Linked DNA regions of Arabidopsis thaliana. The protein of the gene in region 4 interacts with the protein of the main gene of each other region in a pairwise test. Each region holds a gene or a part of one and is shown on either strand. Other genes may lie near its edges.

What was found.
Region 1: the proteins of AGB1 (region 4) and PLDALPHA1 come close enough for resonance energy transfer, tested with the Arabidopsis thaliana proteins (one study listed by BioGRID).
Region 2: the proteins of AGB1 (region 4) and GP ALPHA 1 interact in binary tests that used the Arabidopsis thaliana proteins (3 or more experiments, as listed by UniProt).
Region 3: the proteins of AGB1 (region 4) and CMPG1 interact in a two-hybrid assay, tested with the Arabidopsis thaliana proteins (one study listed by BioGRID).

Annotation. Positions count from the first base shown.
Region 1 is NC_003074.8:5,328,656-5,334,283, forward strand, and holds PLDALPHA1 (phospholipase D alpha 1), read left to right. Parts: upstream 1-1,538; 5' UTR 1,539-1,764; intron 1,765-2,171; 5' UTR 2,172-2,179; coding exon 2,180-2,275; intron 2,276-2,398; coding exon 2,399-4,301; intron 4,302-4,385; coding exon 4,386-4,819; 3' UTR 4,820-5,090; downstream 5,091-5,628. Other genes in the region: AT3G15740 (RING/U-box superfamily protein), read right to left, coding at 5,224-5,628. UniProt on the Arabidopsis thaliana protein: Hydrolyzes glycerol-phospholipids at the terminal phosphodiesteric bond to generate phosphatidic acids (PA).
Region 2 is NC_003071.7:11,194,988-11,201,636, reverse strand, and holds GP ALPHA 1 (G protein alpha subunit 1), read right to left. Parts: upstream 4,642-6,649; 5' UTR 4,169-4,641; exon of another isoform or gene 3,817-4,168; intron 3,680-3,816; 5' UTR 3,551-3,679; coding exon 3,491-3,550; intron 3,403-3,490; coding exon 3,330-3,402; intron 3,235-3,329; coding exon 3,197-3,234; intron 3,107-3,196; coding exon 3,017-3,106; intron 2,842-3,016; coding exon 2,764-2,841; intron 2,662-2,763; coding exon 2,554-2,661; intron 2,472-2,553; coding exon 2,370-2,471; intron 2,129-2,369; coding exon 2,073-2,128; intron 1,698-2,072; coding exon 1,563-1,697; intron 1,481-1,562; coding exon 1,387-1,480; intron 1,296-1,386; coding exon 1,236-1,295; intron 1,150-1,235; coding exon 1,070-1,149; intron 993-1,069; coding exon 815-992; 3' UTR 535-814; downstream 1-534. UniProt on the Arabidopsis thaliana protein: Exhibits a fast rate of basal nucleotide exchange. Guanine nucleotide-binding proteins (G proteins) are involved as modulators or transducers in various transmembrane signaling systems.
Region 3 is NC_003070.9:24,635,303-24,639,143, reverse strand, and holds CMPG1 (CYS, MET, PRO, and GLY protein 1), read right to left. Parts: upstream 1,949-3,841; 5' UTR 1,927-1,948; coding exon 631-1,926; 3' UTR 536-630; downstream 1-535. Other genes in the region: MMD1 (RING/FYVE/PHD zinc finger superfamily protein), read left to right, coding at 1-351. UniProt on the Arabidopsis thaliana protein: Functions as an E3 ubiquitin ligase.
Region 4 is NC_003075.7:16,476,484-16,481,385, forward strand, and holds AGB1 (GTP binding protein beta 1), read right to left. Parts: upstream 3,138-4,902; 5' UTR 2,784-3,137; coding exon 2,678-2,783; intron 2,606-2,677; coding exon 2,511-2,605; exon of another isoform or gene 2,287-2,510; coding exon of another isoform or gene 2,272-2,286; coding exon 1,847-2,271; intron 1,599-1,846; coding exon 1,241-1,598; intron 1,163-1,240; coding exon of another isoform or gene 1,152-1,162; coding exon 1,038-1,151; intron 946-1,037; coding exon 910-945; 3' UTR 548-909; downstream 1-547. Other genes in the region: AT4G34450 (coatomer gamma-2 subunit, putative / gamma-2 coat protein, putative / gamma-2 COP), read left to right, coding at 118-312; SK12 (SKP1-like 12), read right to left, coding at 3,539-3,997; AT4G34480 (O-Glycosyl hydrolases family 17 protein), read right to left, coding at 4,664-4,857. UniProt on the Arabidopsis thaliana protein: Guanine nucleotide-binding proteins (G proteins) are involved as a modulator or transducer in various transmembrane signaling systems.

The DNA.
Region 1 (5,628 bases), on a different chromosome or scaffold from region 4:
AATTTAACCTATTAAAATGTAACCTATTATTTACTTTTCTCTCTCTCCTACTTTATTATTATTTTATATTTTTTAGTTAGTGAAAAACCATACTAGAGACTACTGATGGAGATGTTCTTATCTTTTCTGTCTATTTTTGACTTTCATGATTCGCTTTTAGTTTCTTTTCTTCGGCTTCGCTTTTGGGTTTTCTATTTTAGCTTTTTTCTTTTTGCTTATAAGAAAAAAAAAAAAACTAATTATGTACTTATTGTAGTTTAATTATAGTAATATTCTTTTGATTTTTTTTCTTTTTTTTCCTACTAAACAGTTAAAGATTCACGTACTACTTATCAAATTCAGTTCAGACAGTCGGACAATATCAATAGGTGCACCTAAATTTCATTCCAAGTTTTACCCTACCACAAAAAAAAAAAATCATTCCAAGATACAGGCCTAAATACGTGTACAGAATGTTAAATCACCAGGCCCAATTATGGCCCATATTCAAATATCAATAGCACCTAAATTTCTAGTTTCTACGTCCCTTCTTCATTTTTTCCTTGGGTCAACTAAAATTCAAAAGTCCTATTTTCTAAAATAAGCTAATATAGAAGCAAAACAAAGGAATTGGGTTATTTTAAGTCCAGATTTTTCAGACAAGTCACCGGTGAGCGGTGGCTGCGTATCAGAAACCTTGCCGTGAGCATTGCTAAATAATAAACATAGATAGGGGAATAAGCTCCAAAATAAGCTCCCTTGTATCCTACCATTGTGTTACAATTTAGCATTACGCCGAGTTGCCAATACTGTCTTAATTTTCCCTTTGATCCCCATATATGAGACACCTCTGATCTGTTCTTCACCGCATTTTTATGATTGACGGTTTTGCTGATGGTTAGTACATTAGAACTTATTAGATACCAGAGAATGCAAATACATTGTATAATCCCCATGTGGCCACGTTCCGTTTATGAGGAGTAATATTTTATACAACTATCACATTCTTCTTTACCCAAAAAAAACGAAAAAAAAAACTACCCAATCTTATAGCGAAGATGTGTGAGATCCAATGATGAAGCAATTAAATTATTGCTAGTGAATTCATGTCATTATGCGAACACGTACTACTTGAGAAAAGTACACCATATAGTTTTCTTGTGATGGACGGTGAGGATTCAGCTTGGGAAACGATGTCGTAACGTTTGGATGCAGAACGTCGGGCGCACGATTTGGATATCTCTTTTTTTTTTTTGTCTCCCCTATCCTCAAGTCAGGGATTTTATTACAACTTTGAATATTTATTTCCTTTTTTTATGTCGGCCTTCTTAAAACTTTTCAAGATTTTCAATTAGTCACTAAACTTTCCATTTTATCTTTTTCACTCTATTATATAATTTTAGATGTAACGTAAAATATTACTATTAGGATGTGAGATAACATAATCCAACCACAATTATATCGTTATCTAGTAACATTAACTATATATTATAAGTTATAAATTGAAAGGAATCTCTTGAGAGTAACTATTTAGGGCCTAATTGTGAAACTAAAAACGTGTAGGGCTGAAACTAATAACAATTCGTACGTTGGGTCACTATTAAATCATCAAAGATCTGTAGAAAATAATGAAAAAGTGGCCCCACACGCTCCAATTAAATTACAGCAGCTCCACAAAGTAGCTCTTAAAGAGCTTCCATCACGGACCAGATCCCGAATTCTTCTTCTGACCACCGAACGATTGAGTTTCTCCGATCAGATCTCAGTTTCTGGGAATAATTCGAAGTTAGTATTTCTCTACTTCATCTCTATGAATCTCATTCATTTTATCTTTATGTTTCTCTTTACTTGTTTTGCGATTAAAACTCGTTTGATCATTTAGGTGGTTCTTTGTTTTGTGAGATAAGTGGAACTCGCTGACTTTTTTTTTTTTCTTTTTGGATAATCAACGATCGGGTTCATTTGCTATTGTCCTCTAGTGTTACACTGATACGATCTTTAGTTTTGAGTTAGATCAGTGACTTTAGTTTCACTATTCAACTAGTGTTCCTTGTTTTTAGGACAATACTGCGAAAATTTAGCTGCTCTAAAATTTTGATACCAGATCTTTGAGATTCGTAGATCTCGCTTTTCTTTTTTTTTAGTTTTTTCAGAAACTAATATTGTGTTCTGGTCAATTCTTATTGCTAAAGGTGAAAAAATGGCGCAGCATCTGTTGCACGGGACTTTACATGCTACCATCTATGAAGTTGATGCCCTCCATGGTGGTGGTGTTAGGCAAGGCTTCCTTGGCAAGGTATAATAAGATCCATTGTTATTGCATCATTTTTGCGCCAATCCTGACGTCTTATTTTGTAGTTCAAATTAGTCTGTGGACTAATACACAGTTTGATCTTTATTTTTCTGATGAAACTTTCAGATTCTGGCAAATGTAGAAGAGACGATTGGTGTTGGTAAAGGAGAAACACAGTTGTATGCGACGATTGATCTGCAAAAAGCTAGAGTTGGGAGAACCAGGAAGATCAAAAATGAACCTAAGAACCCAAAGTGGTATGAGTCGTTTCATATTTACTGTGCTCACTTGGCTTCTGATATCATCTTCACTGTTAAAGATGATAATCCCATTGGAGCTACCCTTATCGGAAGAGCTTACATTCCTGTTGATCAAGTCATTAACGGCGAGGAAGTGGATCAGTGGGTTGAGATCTTGGATAATGACAGAAACCCTATTCAGGGAGGATCAAAGATTCATGTCAAGCTTCAATATTTCCATGTTGAGGAGGATCGTAACTGGAACATGGGTATCAAAAGTGCCAAGTTCCCTGGAGTGCCATACACATTCTTCTCGCAGAGACAAGGCTGCAAAGTTTCTCTGTACCAAGATGCTCATATTCCAGACAACTTTGTCCCTAGAATTCCTCTCGCTGGAGGGAAGAACTATGAGCCTCAAAGATGTTGGGAGGATATTTTTGATGCTATTAGCAATGCAAAACACTTGATCTACATTACTGGTTGGTCTGTTTACGCTGAGATTGCTTTAGTGAGGGACTCGAGGAGGCCTAAGCCTGGAGGTGATGTGACCATTGGTGAGCTACTCAAGAAGAAGGCTAGTGAAGGTGTCAGGGTTCTTTTGCTTGTTTGGGATGACAGAACTTCTGTTGATGTGCTGAAGAAAGATGGGCTCATGGCTACTCATGATGAAGAGACCGAGAATTTCTTCAGGGGAAGTGATGTCCATTGTATTCTGTGCCCTCGTAACCCGGATGACGGTGGTAGCATAGTCCAAAGTTTGCAGATCTCTACTATGTTCACGCATCATCAGAAAATCGTTGTTGTGGACAGCGAGATGCCAAGCAGAGGAGGATCAGAAATGAGGAGAATTGTGAGTTTTGTTGGCGGTATTGATCTTTGTGATGGAAGATACGACACTCCGTTCCACTCCTTGTTCAGGACATTGGACACAGTCCACCATGATGACTTCCATCAACCTAACTTCACTGGTGCTGCTATCACTAAAGGTGGTCCAAGGGAGCCTTGGCATGACATTCACTCCCGTCTTGAAGGTCCAATTGCTTGGGATGTCATGTACAACTTCGAGCAGAGATGGAGCAAGCAGGGTGGTAAAGACATTCTGGTTAAGTTGAGAGATCTTAGTGATATTATTATCACCCCTTCTCCTGTTATGTTCCAAGAGGACCACGATGTGTGGAATGTCCAATTGTTTAGGTCCATTGATGGAGGAGCTGCTGCTGGGTTTCCCGAGTCGCCTGAAGCTGCTGCGGAAGCCGGGCTTGTAAGTGGGAAAGATAACATCATTGATAGGAGTATCCAAGATGCTTACATTCATGCAATCAGACGTGCTAAGGATTTCATCTACGTTGAAAACCAGTACTTCCTTGGGAGTTCTTTTGCTTGGGCAGCCGATGGTATTACTCCTGAGGACATCAATGCCCTGCACTTAATCCCAAAAGAGTTGTCGCTGAAGATAGTTAGCAAGATTGAGAAAGGAGAGAAGTTCAGGGTCTATGTTGTGGTTCCAATGTGGCCAGAAGGTCTCCCAGAGAGTGGATCAGTGCAAGCTATATTAGACTGGCAGAGGAGGACCATGGAGATGATGTACAAGGATGTGATTCAGGCTCTCAGGGCCCAGGGTCTTGAGGAAGATCCAAGAAACTATCTGACATTCTTCTGTCTTGGAAACCGTGAGGTCAAGAAAGATGGAGAGTATGAGCCTGCTGAGAAACCAGACCCCGACACTGATTACATGAGGGCGCAAGAAGCACGCCGTTTCATGATTTACGTCCACACCAAAATGATGATCGGTAAGTTCACATTTCAACGGAAAAAAACTTGAGAAGTATACATAAATGTTGTGCCTGATTCATTTGATGAAATCCATTTTGCAGTTGACGATGAATACATTATCATTGGGTCTGCTAACATCAACCAGAGGTCAATGGACGGTGCAAGAGACTCTGAGATAGCAATGGGAGGTTATCAACCACATCACTTGTCCCATAGACAACCAGCTCGTGGCCAGATCCATGGGTTTCGTATGTCACTCTGGTACGAACACCTGGGAATGCTCGATGAAACCTTCCTCGATCCATCAAGCTTGGAATGCATTGAGAAAGTTAACCGCATTTCTGACAAGTATTGGGACTTTTACTCAAGTGAGTCACTCGAACATGACCTTCCTGGTCACTTGCTCCGCTACCCGATCGGTGTAGCCAGCGAAGGCGACATCACTGAGCTTCCAGGATTTGAATTCTTCCCGGACACAAAGGCCCGTATCCTCGGCACCAAATCAGACTACCTGCCTCCAATCCTTACAACCTAATCTCACTAAGCATGTCAAGTAATGATCTCTCTCTCCCTCTCTGCTTTGCTGCTGTTGTAGCTTTGAATAAAACTTGAGTGTCTACCTTTAGAATTAAGAAGTCAAATGGTTGTTATGATGATGCACTTCTTTACCCCTTTGGTTTTTATATTCGTACAATGACGTGGTGAGAGAATGTAGCTTTGTGATCTTGTTTTGTTGTTGTTATGTACCTTTGGACTTATGAATCTTATATCTGATCCTTTTCTTTTTATTTAGTGTGTTTCACATCAAAGTTTAAACAAAAATAGCAATGAACTAGGTAAAACATACTTCATTAGAAAAGTGAAAGTGACAATCTAGAGATAAAGCATGAAACTAGGGTTCATATAGCACAAAACTAATACAAAAGGGGTTTTAAAGTTTTAAGCCGGAAACAGGGCACGACACACCGGACAAATCCCACTGTTCCTAAGCCATTCCTCTCCACAAGTACGATGAAACACATGCGAACACGGCATTCGACCCGCTTCCACATCTGACCCAACTCGGATATTATCCATGCATATCACACAATAGCCTTCATTCTCAACAACAAGCGTCTCCAAGTGCATCTCCACCGCCTCATCGTTCGCTGGAGCAACCGCAAGTTGCACTTGCACATCTACGTGATCATCTTCACCGGGAAACCTCGAGACAGTAACACCTATCTTTACTTGTACCCTCTCCACGTCTTTCGCACCATCTTTCTTCAAATCCTTAATCTCATCAGCAAGAGTGTTAACAATAGCAGAATAAGGAGGGACTTGGAGCGAATCTAGAATGTGATA
Region 2 (6,649 bases), on a different chromosome or scaffold from region 4:
AAGCCTTGATCTAAATGGTTCCCTAACAAAACCAATTTCGTGATCTTTGAGAGTTTCGTATTAATCAAACTAAGAAGCGATTGTTATCATTATCGTATAACAGAAAAAGCAAAATCAGAACACCATTGGAAGAAAGAGAGAACAACAACATACATGTTTCAGAGGATTGCTCGAAAACGGAATCAAAAACAGAGGAAGAAGAATCAATGAAGCTTTTTTTTTTTTTTGGGATCTATTAACGAAAGAGAAGAAGGAATATTCTTTGACGTAAGAAACAACAACGGCGAAGAGTTTTTTGCTTTCAGGGTTCTTCTTTCTTCGGTGCAATTATTTTTAAAGTCGCTTTTTCGAATGTTCTGAAATCACGGTAGACCCCATGTGTTTTACTTTTATTTCAGTTTTTACATCATATTTTGTATTTGTTCAGTTTCACCCCCATACTTTTTTTTAATGTAAGAACTTTTTCATGTTAGGAACATTCCAAAACTTTTTAGTACTGATAAAGTTACGTTTTGTGTTGTGTTTCACTTTCTAGATTTCGGGATGTGGATGCCTCATTTTAATAATAATATAACCCCAAAAACAAGATCAAAATGAGATGTTTTTGATGAGAAAAAAAAATAAGAAGTCAAAGACAGAGGAATGTTAACAAAAACAATGATAAAATAGAAACTAGTCGTAGCCATCGAGACACATTAGATTTTGAATCGCTAAGTCTTTTGTCCCGAAAGATAAATTACACGGTCATTCAGTTTTCGAGTTTTTCTTATAATAATAAGGAGAGGTAATTTACTAGAGATATGTAATAATAAGGTCATAAAAGGCCAGCCTCCAGTAAATTTCTCCTTCTTAGTGTCTCATCTACGAGCTTGAACGTTTTCTTTACAAGCTTCTGGTCCAAAGCCGTCGTCCTGTAGATTTTGAATACCCTGTCCACTCTATCCGGCGCCGTGTTCTGGTAATATAACTCCTCAAACTTCTTCTTCACAAACCTGAATCCAAATTAAAAATAAGGTCATATAACGGTAACAGTTTGGCGGGAATCAGTAAAGTTTGGAGACAAGCTTACTCGTATGCATGCTCAATCTCTTGTTTCCCACTTGAAACTGGTTGGTAATCTCTGAACCACTCGCAAACGTTCAACGGAACCTATGCACATTGAATAAGAAAGCGTTATTGAACAAAAAGACTTGCTTGCCTATCAAAACAAATAAATATGCTTTAGTTCTTCTTACGTCAAGAACTTTCTTCTCAAATATGTCGAACTTGTTCAAGAACAGCATGAAGGATGTTTTCTGCGTAAAGAGAACCAAGTTTTTGTAACCAAACCCATCTCAAGAGTGTCTTTAAATTTTTAAAAGATGAGATAAAAATGTAACTAAAAACCTCAAAACAGGGTTGTTTCAGGACCCAGTCGAATAATTCCTTGGTCTCCATCATCCTGTTTTTCTGCTCGTCCTCAAAGAGCGTTTGGTCGTACCTATGATCAAAACTCAGTTAATGTTTTGGCAATATGTGGACAGTACGAGGATATCTTATAATTTATAATGAAGTGAGCTTACTCGCTGATGGCAGCACAAAATATCACAGCTGTTACACCTTCAAACAGATGAATCCATTTCCTCCTCTCATTTCTCTGTCCACCCACGTCAAACAATCGGTACACTTCACCACTTTTTTTATTCTCTCCCACAGGGCTGCATAAACGAAGCTTTATCTCATATACCATTTGTGAATTCATCTTTGGTAACGGATCATTACAAGTAGATTCACCACAACAACAAGTTTGATATTGGTATGGAATTCATATGTTCTATTAGTACATCTTAGTGGCAATCATAGGAATCGAATCCGTAAACACTTTTATTCATTTCACCAAATAACTTACACATCGCAGAGAGACTACATTAACAAGATTGTTGCTGAGCTGTTAACACAGCTACTACAAACCGCCTAGCTAATCATATTGCCTAGTGAACCAGACTAACACTTAGAGCTTATCAAACAATTACTCATCTATGAAAGACTAACAATCAAACAGGAAAAAGGGTAAAACAAAAAGTAGTTGGTACCTGAACTGTATTTCCACGACACCAGTTGTGCGAACTCTTGCATAAAGTACATCCTCCTGAAACACCAACATAGAAAAAATGCACCAATGACAACACATTCCGGAAGACACATGTCACAGAAATTGCATATTGACTCTGGTCTCTGAAAATGCTAGCTCAACTAGGCTAATATGGAAAGCAAAAGGCTTCTGTTTGTTAATACATTGATCCTCCGAGGCTGATCCAATGAGTTTTATTCAACCATTTTAAGATCATTACTTGAAATGTTTTCAACAAAGAATGATACTTTGGTTATACCTTAGTTGGAATATAATTTATATCTGATAGTCTCTTCAAGTTCTCCATCAGATATTTCGTACAATCAGGAACCTGAAGCTCATTACCACGAGCACAAGTTTCCTACAAAATGAAACGTTTAAATCATGTATTCAACTTTGAGTGCAATAGTAAATAAAACGTGCACACACACACACAAACACACCTGAATTGCAGGATCCTTCCATAGTGTTTCTATTCCCTCAGCGATGTCCTTGGTAAGACGTGGATAGTCTAACCTACCACCAATCTCAGATAGTTTCTCCCCAATTGCCTGATATTACGATAATAAGTTGACTACCATAAGACAAGGTACTCACAAGACTCAAAACTCTAACAAAGACAGCTCAAGTGACCTATGAATCTAACCACTTACAATACTTTCAGAAGATAACATATATTTAGCAGAATCTGTTTCATTTTGAGCAAACTCCTTTGTTCCATCATGCAATAACTGTTCAACAATATAGAGTAGCTATTAAGCTACATGTACAATATACCAAGATCAACATATGAAAAAAATTTGATTACTCATATAAATGATTCTCTAGATTGTAAATCCAAAAGAACTCGAAAACACCGCCAATTAGAAGGATAAAACCGACACAGTCATTTCAAGTATTGCATACTTTTATAGTCTGATAGACATTGGCATGAATGACTGGAACATAGCTCTTTAGTTCTCCTTCATCAAATCCCGTTTGGAATAGAAGTTTTATCTGCAAATTAGTAAATTTGTATCATTCAATTAGCAGGATTCATAAGTAAATTTAAGTAAAGAGTACAATCAATTTTCCTTGTGGACTTGCCTGCTTAAAAATTGTAGATTTTCCAGATTCCCCAGCACCTTTACAAAACACAAGTCAGAAAATTAGAGGAAAACTATTACCAAAAGATTCATCAAGGCATGCCATTCACATTTCTAATCCAAGGTCTACATACCAAGTAGCAAAAGCTTCCGAATATGCTTTTCAGCCTTTGCTTCTTGCTCTATCCGTCTTTCGATTTCAGCAGCCTGTAGATTAATACAAACCAAGTTAACTCTTGAAGTATCAGAAATAATGCTCCCATACATCGAGTGTTACAAGAGCTCTTAAGTCAACCTGTGTATTCTCATCAGTATCTTCAGTATGATGTCGACTTCTACTGCAGAGTAAGCCCATGATTGTTTCTATATCCCCACAGGTAATAACATAGAAGTCGAAAACTATCAAGATTCAAGCTCCACAGCTAAAAACAAATACTTGAGCTTCCAGCTACAGTTGCTTCTCATAACAAGACAATGCCTACACCTACTTATGAAACAATCAATACTTTAGCTCAAAATTCATAAATATACATAAAGTTTCACTCACCAAAATAGCAAACATGTTCAAAGAATGCAAGTAAGAAAAAGCATTAAACTTTATAATATATACTGGATTAGTACCTCTCAAATGAAACAAGTTCAGTAGTTAAGAAAATGAGCTCTAAAAGTCGAGTAGCTAACACCATTAAGAAATTCAAAAACTGTGAGATAGCAAATCAAGTAATAGATAGAGTTCACACTTGAACTGCTATAATCAGATCCAAAGAATCATAATTTTCATTTCCAATCTACAGTAACGACGAACTGATCTACAAAACCCTAAACTTGAAAAACAAAACCAATTCGAAACGAAACAGAAAAACAACAGAACAAGGAGGAGAACTAGGACAAGATCTGAGTAATAAAAAACAAAACTTTCATAAAACCCAAAAGAGTAAATTTGGGGTAAGAAGAAAAGTAAAGTAGAATTCACCTGAAGAAGAAAAAGAAATGGAGTCAAAGGTAGTGAAGAAGATATCGGAGTTCGCAAACAAGAAGAAGAAGAAGAAGAAGAAAGTACAAAACAAGGTCTGAGAAGAGAGCAGAAGAAGAAGAAGTAGTACTTCTGCTTCTCCTGTTTCTATTATTGTTTTACCACTTTCTTTCCGCTTTAATGTTTTTGCTTCACTCTTTTGGATTTATTCTCTCCTTTTTATTATAAATACATAAAATGCAAATTATGAATTTAATTAAAAATAAAATAAAAATGGATATATTTTTAATATTTGGTCAAAAAGAAAGAAAGAAAATGTTAAGCAAAGGGGAAGACGAAATTACGCCGAAAGGTCCTGAGAGAGAGAGAGAGAGAGTGGTCAAATGTTGAAAAAAGATGTGCCTCTCGTGACGATAAAGAAGATTAATTACGGAACCTATATGCATTTTTATTTTATATACTATTAAGTTAACCATTATTGGAAGAGAATTACTAAGTGTGGCAAGACAAAACAAATTTGGAATTTTATGACATCAAGTCCTTGTATCGAAATATCTTGATTTTTGCTTTGCAGTTGCATTACAAGCTGGACTCTACTTATATCTAGAATGGGTTTTGCTAGCTTAGGAAATATATTGCAGTTTTGATTTAGGAAAGAAAATAAAGATTCAAAATCGATAAAAACACAACATATCATATAGTACTTTAAATCTTCAACCTACAAAAACATCACATCCGTTAAATCCTTACAATCATTAACATCGACTTGAACTTCTCACAAAATGTTTCCACTGAGAAACGGTCTTGGCGAGTGATGGTATATTTATTGGTTGGGCTTAAATATATTTCAGATGCAAAACCATATTGAATCAATAAATTATAAATACATAGCTTCCCTAACCACTTAAACCACCAGCTACAAAACCAATAAACCCGATCAATCATTATGTTTTCATAGGATTTCCTGAACATACATTAAATTATTTTTCATTTTCTTGGTGCTCTTTTCTGTCTTATTCACGTTTTAATGGACATAATCGGTTTCATATTGTAAATCTCTTTAACCTAACGAACAATTTAATGACCCTAGTAATAGGATAAGAAGGTCGTGAAAAATGAACGAGAAAAAACCCACCAAAACACTATATAAGAAAGACCGAAAAAGTAAAAAGGGTGAGCCATAAACCAAAAACCTTACCAGATGTTGTCAAAGAACAAAAATCATCATCCATGATTAACCTACGCTTCACTACTAAGACAAGGCGATTGTGTCCCGGTTGAAAAGGTTGTAAAACAGTTTGAGGATGCTACAAAAGTGGATGTTAAGTATGAAGCGGCTAAGGTTTTGGATTTGGTCTAGGAGCACATTGGTTAAGCAATATCTTCGGTGGAGATTGAGTTTTTAGAGATAGTAGATACTAATTCATCTATGGAGACATGCAAATTCATCAAAATGCTTGGATGAATTAGAAAAACTAGGTGGAGAATACAGTAAAAAAATTCAAAAAGTGCATATTGTTTGGACAACATTAATATGTACAAATAGTTTACATTTAAATGTATTATTTTACTAATTAAGTACATATAAAGTTGCTAAACTAAACTAATATAATTTTTGCATAAGTAAATTTATCGTTAAAAGTTTTCTTTCTAGCCACTAAACAACAATACAAAATCGCCCAAGTCACCCATTAATTAATTTAGAAGTGAAAAACAAAATCTTAATTATATGGACGATCTTGTCTACCATATTTCAAGGGCTACAGGCCTACAGCCGCCGAATAAATCTTACCAGCCTTAAACCAGAACAACGGCAAATAAGTTCATGTGGCGGCTGGTGATGATTCACAATTTCCCCGACAGTTCTATGATAATGAAACTATATAATTATTGTACGTACATACATGCATGCGACGAACAACACTTCAATTTAATTGTTAGTATTAAATTACATTTATAGTGAAGTATGTTGGGACGATTAGACGGATACAATGCACTTATGTTCTCCGGAAAATGAATCATTTGTGTTCAGAGCATGACTCCAAGAGTCAAAAAAGTTATTAAATTTATTTGAATTTAAAACTTAAAAATAGTGTAATTTTTAACCACCCGCTGCCGCAAACGTTGGCGGAAGAATACGCGGTGTTAAACAATTTTTGTGATCGTTGTCAAACATTTGTAACCGCAATCTCTACTGCACAATCTGTTACGTTTACAATTTACAAGTTAGTATAGAAGAACGTTCGTACCTGAAGACCAACCGACCTTTAGTTATTGAATAAATGATTATTTAGTTAAGAGTAACAAAATCAATGGTTCAAATTTGTTTCTCTTCCTTACTTCTTAAATTTTAATCATGGAAGAAACAAAGTCAACGGACATCCAATTATGGCCTAATCATCTCATTCTCCTTTCAACAAGGCGAATCAAATCTTCTTTATACGTAATATTTATTTGCCAGCCTGAAATGTATACCAAATC
Region 3 (3,841 bases), on a different chromosome or scaffold from region 4:
GGGATAGATTTGGAATCAAAACTCAAGTGTCAAGGTGGATGTGATACATGGATGGTGAAATGTATTTGCAGAGCTAGAGATGATGATGGCGAGAGGATGATATCTTGTGATGTTTGTGAGGTATGGCAACATACACGATGTTGTGGGATTGATGATTCAGATACTTTGCCTCCACTTTTTGTTTGTTCGAATTGCTGTGAAGAATTTGCAGAGCAACAGAGGAAAGTGCTGCAGCCAAAGTATGAGTTTCCAAGTTCAGAGAATGTGTTTTTGCTTGAATCTGCAGATGATTTCTTTGGAGATCAGAGATGTCTTGGTATGATTTTTCCTGAAGAAAACTATCTTTTGTAAAGTCAGTTTTTGGATCAAACTTTGTAGATAATCAATTCTTTTGTAAACAAAACCAAATTGTATATGTGATTTGTTTGCCTCAATATAAATGAGTTTGGCTTTGTGGTTTACAAGTTGGTTAAGAGACACTGTTTACAAAGAGAGGGTTTTAAAAACAGAGGAAATAAGAAACAGAGCTTTGTGAATAAGGTCTGGTTTATCAAACCGTCGGTCCAATCCGGTTTTTGGAAACATTGATGATTTGAAAAAAATTGTGGTGTTTCCTCTATACAAAATGTATTAAAATGGTTTCTTAACATGTTTAAACTCAATTGAAGAAGAATAAGAACGATCAACAAAACCATTCATCTTCATAACTTTATTCATCATCTTCAACAACTCTGTAACTTTCTCCTTAGTTCCTTCACCACATCCAACTTGTAACATGACAACAAGCTTCTTAAACGCACCTAATCTCAACGCTTCTTCAACTTCAGACCCATCACCACTTTTACAAACCTTCCACATCACAGAAACCAAATCTTTCTTCTCAGAAATCTTCAAAATCTTCTTCACCAAAATCGGTATCACCAGCTTGTTTCTTCTCACTTTCTCTCTTCCTTCTTTAGTTTCACAAATCACGTTTAATACCGTTAACGCTTTCTCGCAAACGCTGTTTTCTGAATCCACTAGCATCTCCACTGTTATATTCACAAGATCCAATTCAAGAAACCTTGATACGGTTTCTTGATTTGTCAAGATCATATGGTGGATTGATATTAACGAGTTGACGCATGTAGAATCGCGATTAATCGATTTCATGAACGCTTCTTGGACGCCATTGATCTTTGTTAACGCGTGAACGTGAGTTACGTTAAGCTCAAGAAGCTCTTTTATCAAAAACGCAGCGTTTTGATCACCATTTCTCAACAGTTCCACTAAACGATTAAACGACGACGTCGTGGTGAGTTTGGATTGACCTTCTAAACCAATGGGAAGCATCCACGTCAGCACAGACACAGTCTCCTCCAATAATAATGACGCATTTGCGTTTTCGGAAAACGCGTCGAAGCAAACGCAAAGAACCAATCCCGCGCCGTTTTCCTTAACGCATTTTCGATTCCTCTCGCTCTCTTTTCCTAGTCTCGTCATCTTCGTAACCATCTCCATGCACGCGGCGTAGTCTCCACGCCGCGTAGCAGCGGATAACCTCTCACAAATCTCGGAGACTTGATGACTGGTCACGGGTACACGAGGCGTCGGGATTCGTTCAATCCCGCCGCCTAGTGACGACCCGCACCAACCTTGAATCATCCTCCGAATCGTATGGTTCGGAATCTGTTCCAAACTTGTCAAAACCGTGTTTGTAACGGGACAAGTTTGGTACCCGGACTCGAACCACTTCTCGATGTTTTCGCGATCGTAAGTGATCCCCGAGGCAATAATCACCGGATCCTTCATTAGCTCGTAAGATATCGGACATTGAAACTGCGATGGTATGGTTATCTCCACTTCCTCCGAGCAACTTGTCACCGGAATGATCTCTTTCTTGCTAACACTTCCTCCACGACGTCTCACTCTCAATGAAAGTCCCATTCTTTGACCGTTTATTACTAATGGAGAACACAAGTGGGGATGAGAGATTTATATATGTATGGATGTGAATATAGAGATAATAAAATGTATGCATTTTAAATTAGTCGTTATCATACGCTTCTCGAACGCGAGTGGGTCAAAGTTAATTTTTAGGTAAAAGAAAAAAAAAACATATCACGGGAAAAATGATTTTTGAATTAATGAAGGTTTATGTCATATTATTCGCTAGCTGTTAAAGAAGCGTAAAAATTGACCGTTGAATGTTTGAATTTAATGACATTGACAACTAATCCAGAAATAGGAAAAAATTAAAGTTCTTAAACCTATTCTTGGGTTGTTTTTTTTGTTTCGCTCTTCTTTTTTGGTCTTGAGGATTGAGTTTTTTTTTTCACAAAAAGAAATCAACTGTAAAACTTTTTTTTTATATCAATGTTAAATATTTATATTTTTTTGCAAGCTTTTGAAAAAAATTACAGAAAAATATAAGTAGAAGGAAAAAATCGAAAGCAGAAGAAAATAACAAAAACTATAACAGACTACAACATAAACAACAAAAAGCCATAAGCAAAAATCCAACAAGTTGACTTCCGGTAAGAAACACCGATTCCGAACCGCGAACATCAAATATTTGTGATTTTAAAGAGTTTGTGCCTTTTTGGTATGTTTTGGTAAGATCGATTATGCATAAAAAATATTAGACAAATATAGATGTAGAAAATTATGTTGATAAGATTTTTCTTATAACCCCGAAACCAAATCGGTCTACAATTTAGTTTGGTTTAATCGTAGTGAGAAACCATACAAATTAGAGAGTATTTTTAGTCTACAATTGGAGAGTATTTTTGTCTTTGCTATAAAAAATAATATTGAAATGAAGAATGATGTGAAATCGGCTAGAGATTGACTAAGTCAGTGGTCAAGAGTCGGTGCATGAAAACGCTACCATGCGCATATGGACATTACGTAACGTTCTTACCTGTTTTGATAATTCGCTTGAGATTTTATGAGTCTGTCCATATTTCTCCCACTACATATATCCTTCTTTAAGAAAAGGAAAAGATAATATTAGTAAGAAACACGGCAACACCTATCTCCAACTCATAATGTGATTATGTGAACCATCCTTGATATTGTGTTTCCAGCTATCTTTGTGTCCACCAGCATCTTAGCCAAACTATATTACACAACTTGCTTCATTTCTACATAATAACTTTAGGTTCGAAATCGAATGGAATGGGCTTCATTGTTGGAGAGTTGGGCTTCAATTTTGTAAACTCTTTTTAGCGATTTAGTTGGTTTAATTCTTTGAGATACTTCGATGAACTCGAGTAACATAGTAGTGCGCAAAATTCAAATCTATGTACTTCTCTTCGTTAAGACTGGTGACACAAACAATTTTATAATAAACAAAAATGTTATTTACCTCAAAAATGATAAGGAGACCAAGATTATTTAGAGAATTAATAGAAAAAGTAAGGTTAAGTTAGTGCATGTACCTGAAAAGAGAAATTGATCCTATATTTTACGTAAAAAAGTGTTAATCTTAATTGAAAAATAAAATTCTGAGATATCATTTACTAAAATAATAAGAGAATTGTTATTTTATTACTACTTCTGACTCAATCGATTTTTGTACTATCTTGTGACTTGTAACATATGAAATGTTATTTATATGCATACAACGAGATAAAGACTACCTGTTTAGTAGCACTGTACAATGTGAACATAAATCATCCATAGACCATAGTACTAAACGTGTTAAATAAATAAAGATCTCACTTTTTCCAAATTTCAGAGCATAATCTTGGTTTGGTCTAATATTTTTTTGATTATGAAAAGAAAGTATATAAATAAGAAATAATGTGTCTCTCTTTGCTTATGAGACACAAAAGTACAAATGTGAGAAAAAGTATTA
Region 4 (4,902 bases):
TTTTTCTCATACTCTACTGAGACTTGAGGGCTAAAATTATTGTTGATAAAGTCTTTTTTGAGTATATGACCATTTGTTGTGTTCCTGAAATTGAAACTGACACTGGATAAATAACAGGGGACGGAGACAATTCCGCTCAATGCAAGGTCACACACGTGTCTATTGTCAGGTGTGTACATAGGCAACGTGAAAGTGTTAGTGAGGGCACAGTTTGGAATGGACAGCTCAAAGGACATTGCAATGAAGCTGACAGTTAGAGCTGAAGACGTTTCTGTCGCCGAGGCCATTCACGAGATTGTTGCCAGCGGCTAAAACCTCTTGCGTTTCTTCAGTATCAGAGAATGTCATCTATTCCTGCTGCTAAACCTCAAAAATACATCAACTATTATAAATAGCATAGTATTACTTTCTTTCTTTTTTCCTTGCATTATTACTGTCAAATACACTATGGAGGTTTTCTTTTTATTTTATGACGGTGCTTTTTGATTTCTCATTTCTGAATTTTATTATTACCCGTTTTCTCGCCAAGTTGGGAATCTACAGATCATCTTGCTCGGATTTGAAAACCACTACCGTACCGTACAACAGGCTAGGCTTTCTCCATAAGTTAGAAACTCAAAAATAGTAGCGTTTTATCGTCTGCGTTCAATATGAAGAGATGATAGTAAAGTAAAGACTGGTGGGTACACAATTGATTACAGAATTCACATTGAGTAGCGTGTTGAAGGAGTTTAGTTCCCAATGAAGAAATAAATAAATCAAAGCACACTACAAAAAGGGAAGTTTAATTCTTCTAACCACTCCACTATTTCAAACCAAACACCTTCCACAAACCGAACCTTACTTCCCGACTACAGAATATATTAACCAACAACTGGAGACGTGACTCCTACTTTCGTTAAATCTTCTTCAAATCACTCTCCTGTGTCCTCCAAACGCCCATATCTGTGTGAATTCAACGAAATTTCATCTATCCTCTAATTTCCTTACAAACATAACATGGTAAATGATAAGCAGAGACACTACTAAGTACTAACCTTTAGATTTGAATCCCAACTTCCTGTACACAAGGCACTTCCATCTGCTGACAACCCCAAACAGCTTATTCTATTCCTGTGTGAATCCTGCTGTAATCCCAAATCCAATACAACCTGCAAGAAAACTCCTCACGTTTCAATCATAAACCTTACATGAGCGAAAACAACTCTCACCACTCATTACTCAAATACTAATTGCTTACCTCTCCCAAGAGGGTATCCCAAACGTAGCAAGTGTTGTTGCTCGCATAGCCAGCGAAAAGAAGTCTCCCTGACACAGAGAATGCAATGGAGGTGACAGGTCCGTTCTCACCATCACCATGTGGCTGATAGACCTGGAGTTGGTGACCAGTCCTTATGTCATACAGCCTGCATGTTCCATCGTCTGATCCAGTCCCAAATCTATACCCATCCGGAAAGAACTTGACCGTATTAACATCTCCCTCGTGACCATGAAAGGTACGCACTGCTCGGCTTGCAGCACGAGTGTCCCACAACCGTGCTGTGGAATCGCATGAACCAGATATAAACCAGTTTGGGTTTGATCCACTGATTGAGACGCTGCAAGAATGGGGAATAATCACCAAGTAAGAGGGCGAGTTTAACTGACTTGCAATATATCATCCATGCTAGCTTTTATACACAAGTCAAATAAACGTATCTATTCAATAAGACCAAACCTATATGTTGATTCCAACACTCGATCCAAATGGTATGGTTCTGGAAGATTAAGTAGTTTTTCAAATATATTCTACTTTATCAAACAAACTGATGCCAATGAGCCAAGGAGATGAAAGCAATATCCATACCTTAGTACATCAGCAGTATGTCCAGACTGAAATTCACCGCCAAAAACAGAAGTTTTGAGACCAGTAGTTACATCCCATAAGATACAAGTTTGATCACCTGAACTGGTGATAAGGTGGGCATCCTCATTTGGGACATACTGACAGCACGAAACATATCCCCTGTGACCAGTGAGCATTCTTGAAACCGGTACAGTTCCATCCTTGTCCGCCGTTGAGCTAAGGCTAAAGATAGAACATACACTGTCTAATCCACCACACGCAACCGACTGACCATTTGGAGAGAAAGCACATGTCATAACCCATGCACAAGGGAGTTTAATAGCATGAGTTTTCTGACTCGTTAGAGCATTCCACACGATTAATCTCCCATCTTGAGATGCACTGACAATCCGGTTCCTCTCCGGTGTCCAATCTAATGAATAAACCTGCAAATCCCACATGTTAAATCAACAACAAGCTAACATTCACAATCAACTCTCCTGTCTCTACATTTCCGTAGGATCTTAAGCAAATCCTCATACATGATAACTGGTAACATCTTATAAACACCACCAACTAAATAACAAACTAGATACAACCCCAAAATGGAAGCTTTTTATCACAGGCTAGAAAACACTCCACAAAGAAGCATGCTTGAAGGATAAAGATGCAAACTTTGAGTCACCTTTCCGGTGTGTCCCTGAAGAGTACGACAACAAACCAGATCCGTTGCTCCGAAGCTCACCCGAGTACGTCCTTGCGCCGCTGAATACCTCGCCACTGGCAAAATTCAATCCAAATTAAAGAAGAAGAAGATGAGAGAAGAAGAGAGACGAAAAGGAATCCACAAACCATCGGTATCGAGGAGCTGGAGGCGTCTCTGTCTAAGCTGGTCACGGAGGTTATTAACGGTCTCCGTAGCGACGGCGTGGCGTTCTTTGAGCTCGGAGACAGACATTCCGGGATCAGACTTAGGCTTCTCCGTCGCCGATCAAATAAAAGGGGGAAACTTTGTGGGGTCTAGAAGAGAAGAAGGTTCATGATTGAGAGAGGGAGATCGAACCCTAGAAAGAATGGATTTGGGGGAATTACGTGGGAAAAGAGAGAGAGATTAAAAAAGCTTGAGAGAAGAATCAGTCAAGACACAAACACGGCTCTCTTGTTGAATGTTGATGATGGCTTCTCTGACCTGAGACTAGCTAGAGAGAGAGAAGAGGGTCAATAGACATTGACTGTTCCCATTAAAGTGGACCCTCTCACAATGATTAAACGATATCGTTTAAGAGCTATGATTGTTTTTGGTTTTGGACGAGATTTTCGATTCAATATAATGAATTTGAAGGATTTTTAACTACATATTTCTTTTTAAGAAACGTAATTTACAGTACAAGAAAAGAGAAAACATGTTAGTTATTTTGCTACGTGAATTTAATTTGTCTAATAGATTCTGTTTTTCTGAATTGGCTACAAGAACATCAATAATCCAATAAAATTAAGATTGTCTCAAGAGAAAATAAAATAAAAACACATTGGTTAAGCATATCAATATCCAACAAAAGATTATCTCAAGAGAATACAAATCAAAAAAAAAAATTTTAAAAAGTAGACGAAGTGATCATCATCTACATTATTGATCAAGAAGTTGCAAAAAAAAAAAAGAACACTAAAAGGAAAAAAGAAAAAGAAAGCTAGTTAGGTTTTTGATTCATGGGCTCATTCAAAAGCCCATTGATTCTCCTTACGAACAGCTTCTTCTTCCTCAGGTGTAAAATCATTCTCAATGTTGAAAGTTGAACGAATCTCCTCTGGAGTCTTGCCTTTGATCATGTCCGCAACAGTTTGGCATGTGAGATCAAACAAGCTTTTTATGTTGAGGTAATTCGCAGCAAGGATGAGTTCAAAGATGGTGGATTGTTCGAGATCCATGAACTTCTCGTCCCACTTGTTGAGATCCTCTTCAGAGATAGGATTAGCCTCGTCGACGTGGTATTTCTTGCAGTACTCGATCACTTTCACAAGAATCTTGCTTTCCACGTTTGCAAGAGGGATTCCATCAGCAACGCAATCGTCTTCAACCATATGCGCTATGGTCTGCGATTGGATTGCTACCGCTTCTTCCACCTCAAACGACTGACCATCGGAGCTCATCAACACGATCATCTTCGAAGACATTGTGTGTTCCTTGTGGAGGAGGTTTTTCACTGTGAAGCAAATTTGATGAAAGATTTAAGAATTTAGAGAGCGAACAAATTGTGTTAAGGTGATGAAGTTGTGAAACCCTATGCGTCTTTGTATTTATAAGCCCTAGCTAGAGTCGGTGAGATCAACCATTCCTTTTTTAAGAAGGAAATAGTTATTTTCCTTAACCGAAGAAAATAAGTAAATTATTTGTCGACTCCTTTTCATAAAAGGTAATTTCAGATGAGTAAACCAAAATAAACCGGGTCAAATTTTCATTTTTTTGTTGTAGGTTCGGCTCAAATCCTTATTTTCAGAAAATGTAAATTCAGTAAAGTGAACCAGCTAAACCGGTTTAAATTTACAATAGGCCCAATTATAAAGGTACGGCGTAAAATGTAACAATTTAAGAGGGATATAGATATACATTGGAATATAGGAAACTTTATCCAAAGATAATATTCAGATTCATTTATAAGAAACCAAAAGAAGTCTAGTAGATATAGCCGTTACAGACTATATAATACAATTGAGATAGAATGTGTGTAACCATTATAAACTAATAACAAACTCGATTACACTTAATACAGAGGAAGGAGAGGAGATTAACAAGTAGGCGTAATTAATTAATTACTTACCTCCAAGAGCTAATTGAGCCATTTACATATATACATGGAAGATAAGGGACAAAAAGATGAGTAGAAAAGATAGAGAAGAAGAGACTTTTGGTTCAGTTGCTCCATTCTTCTTCTCTACTTTGTCTGAGCTCACATACTTGTTCATTACTGCTTTACTTCCTCCTCCTCCTCCTCCTCCTCCTCCTCCTCCTCCCGGATATACGCAATTGTTGTAACCTATCAAATTCAGATTCAAGATAATTAAGAAACCCAATTAGTATA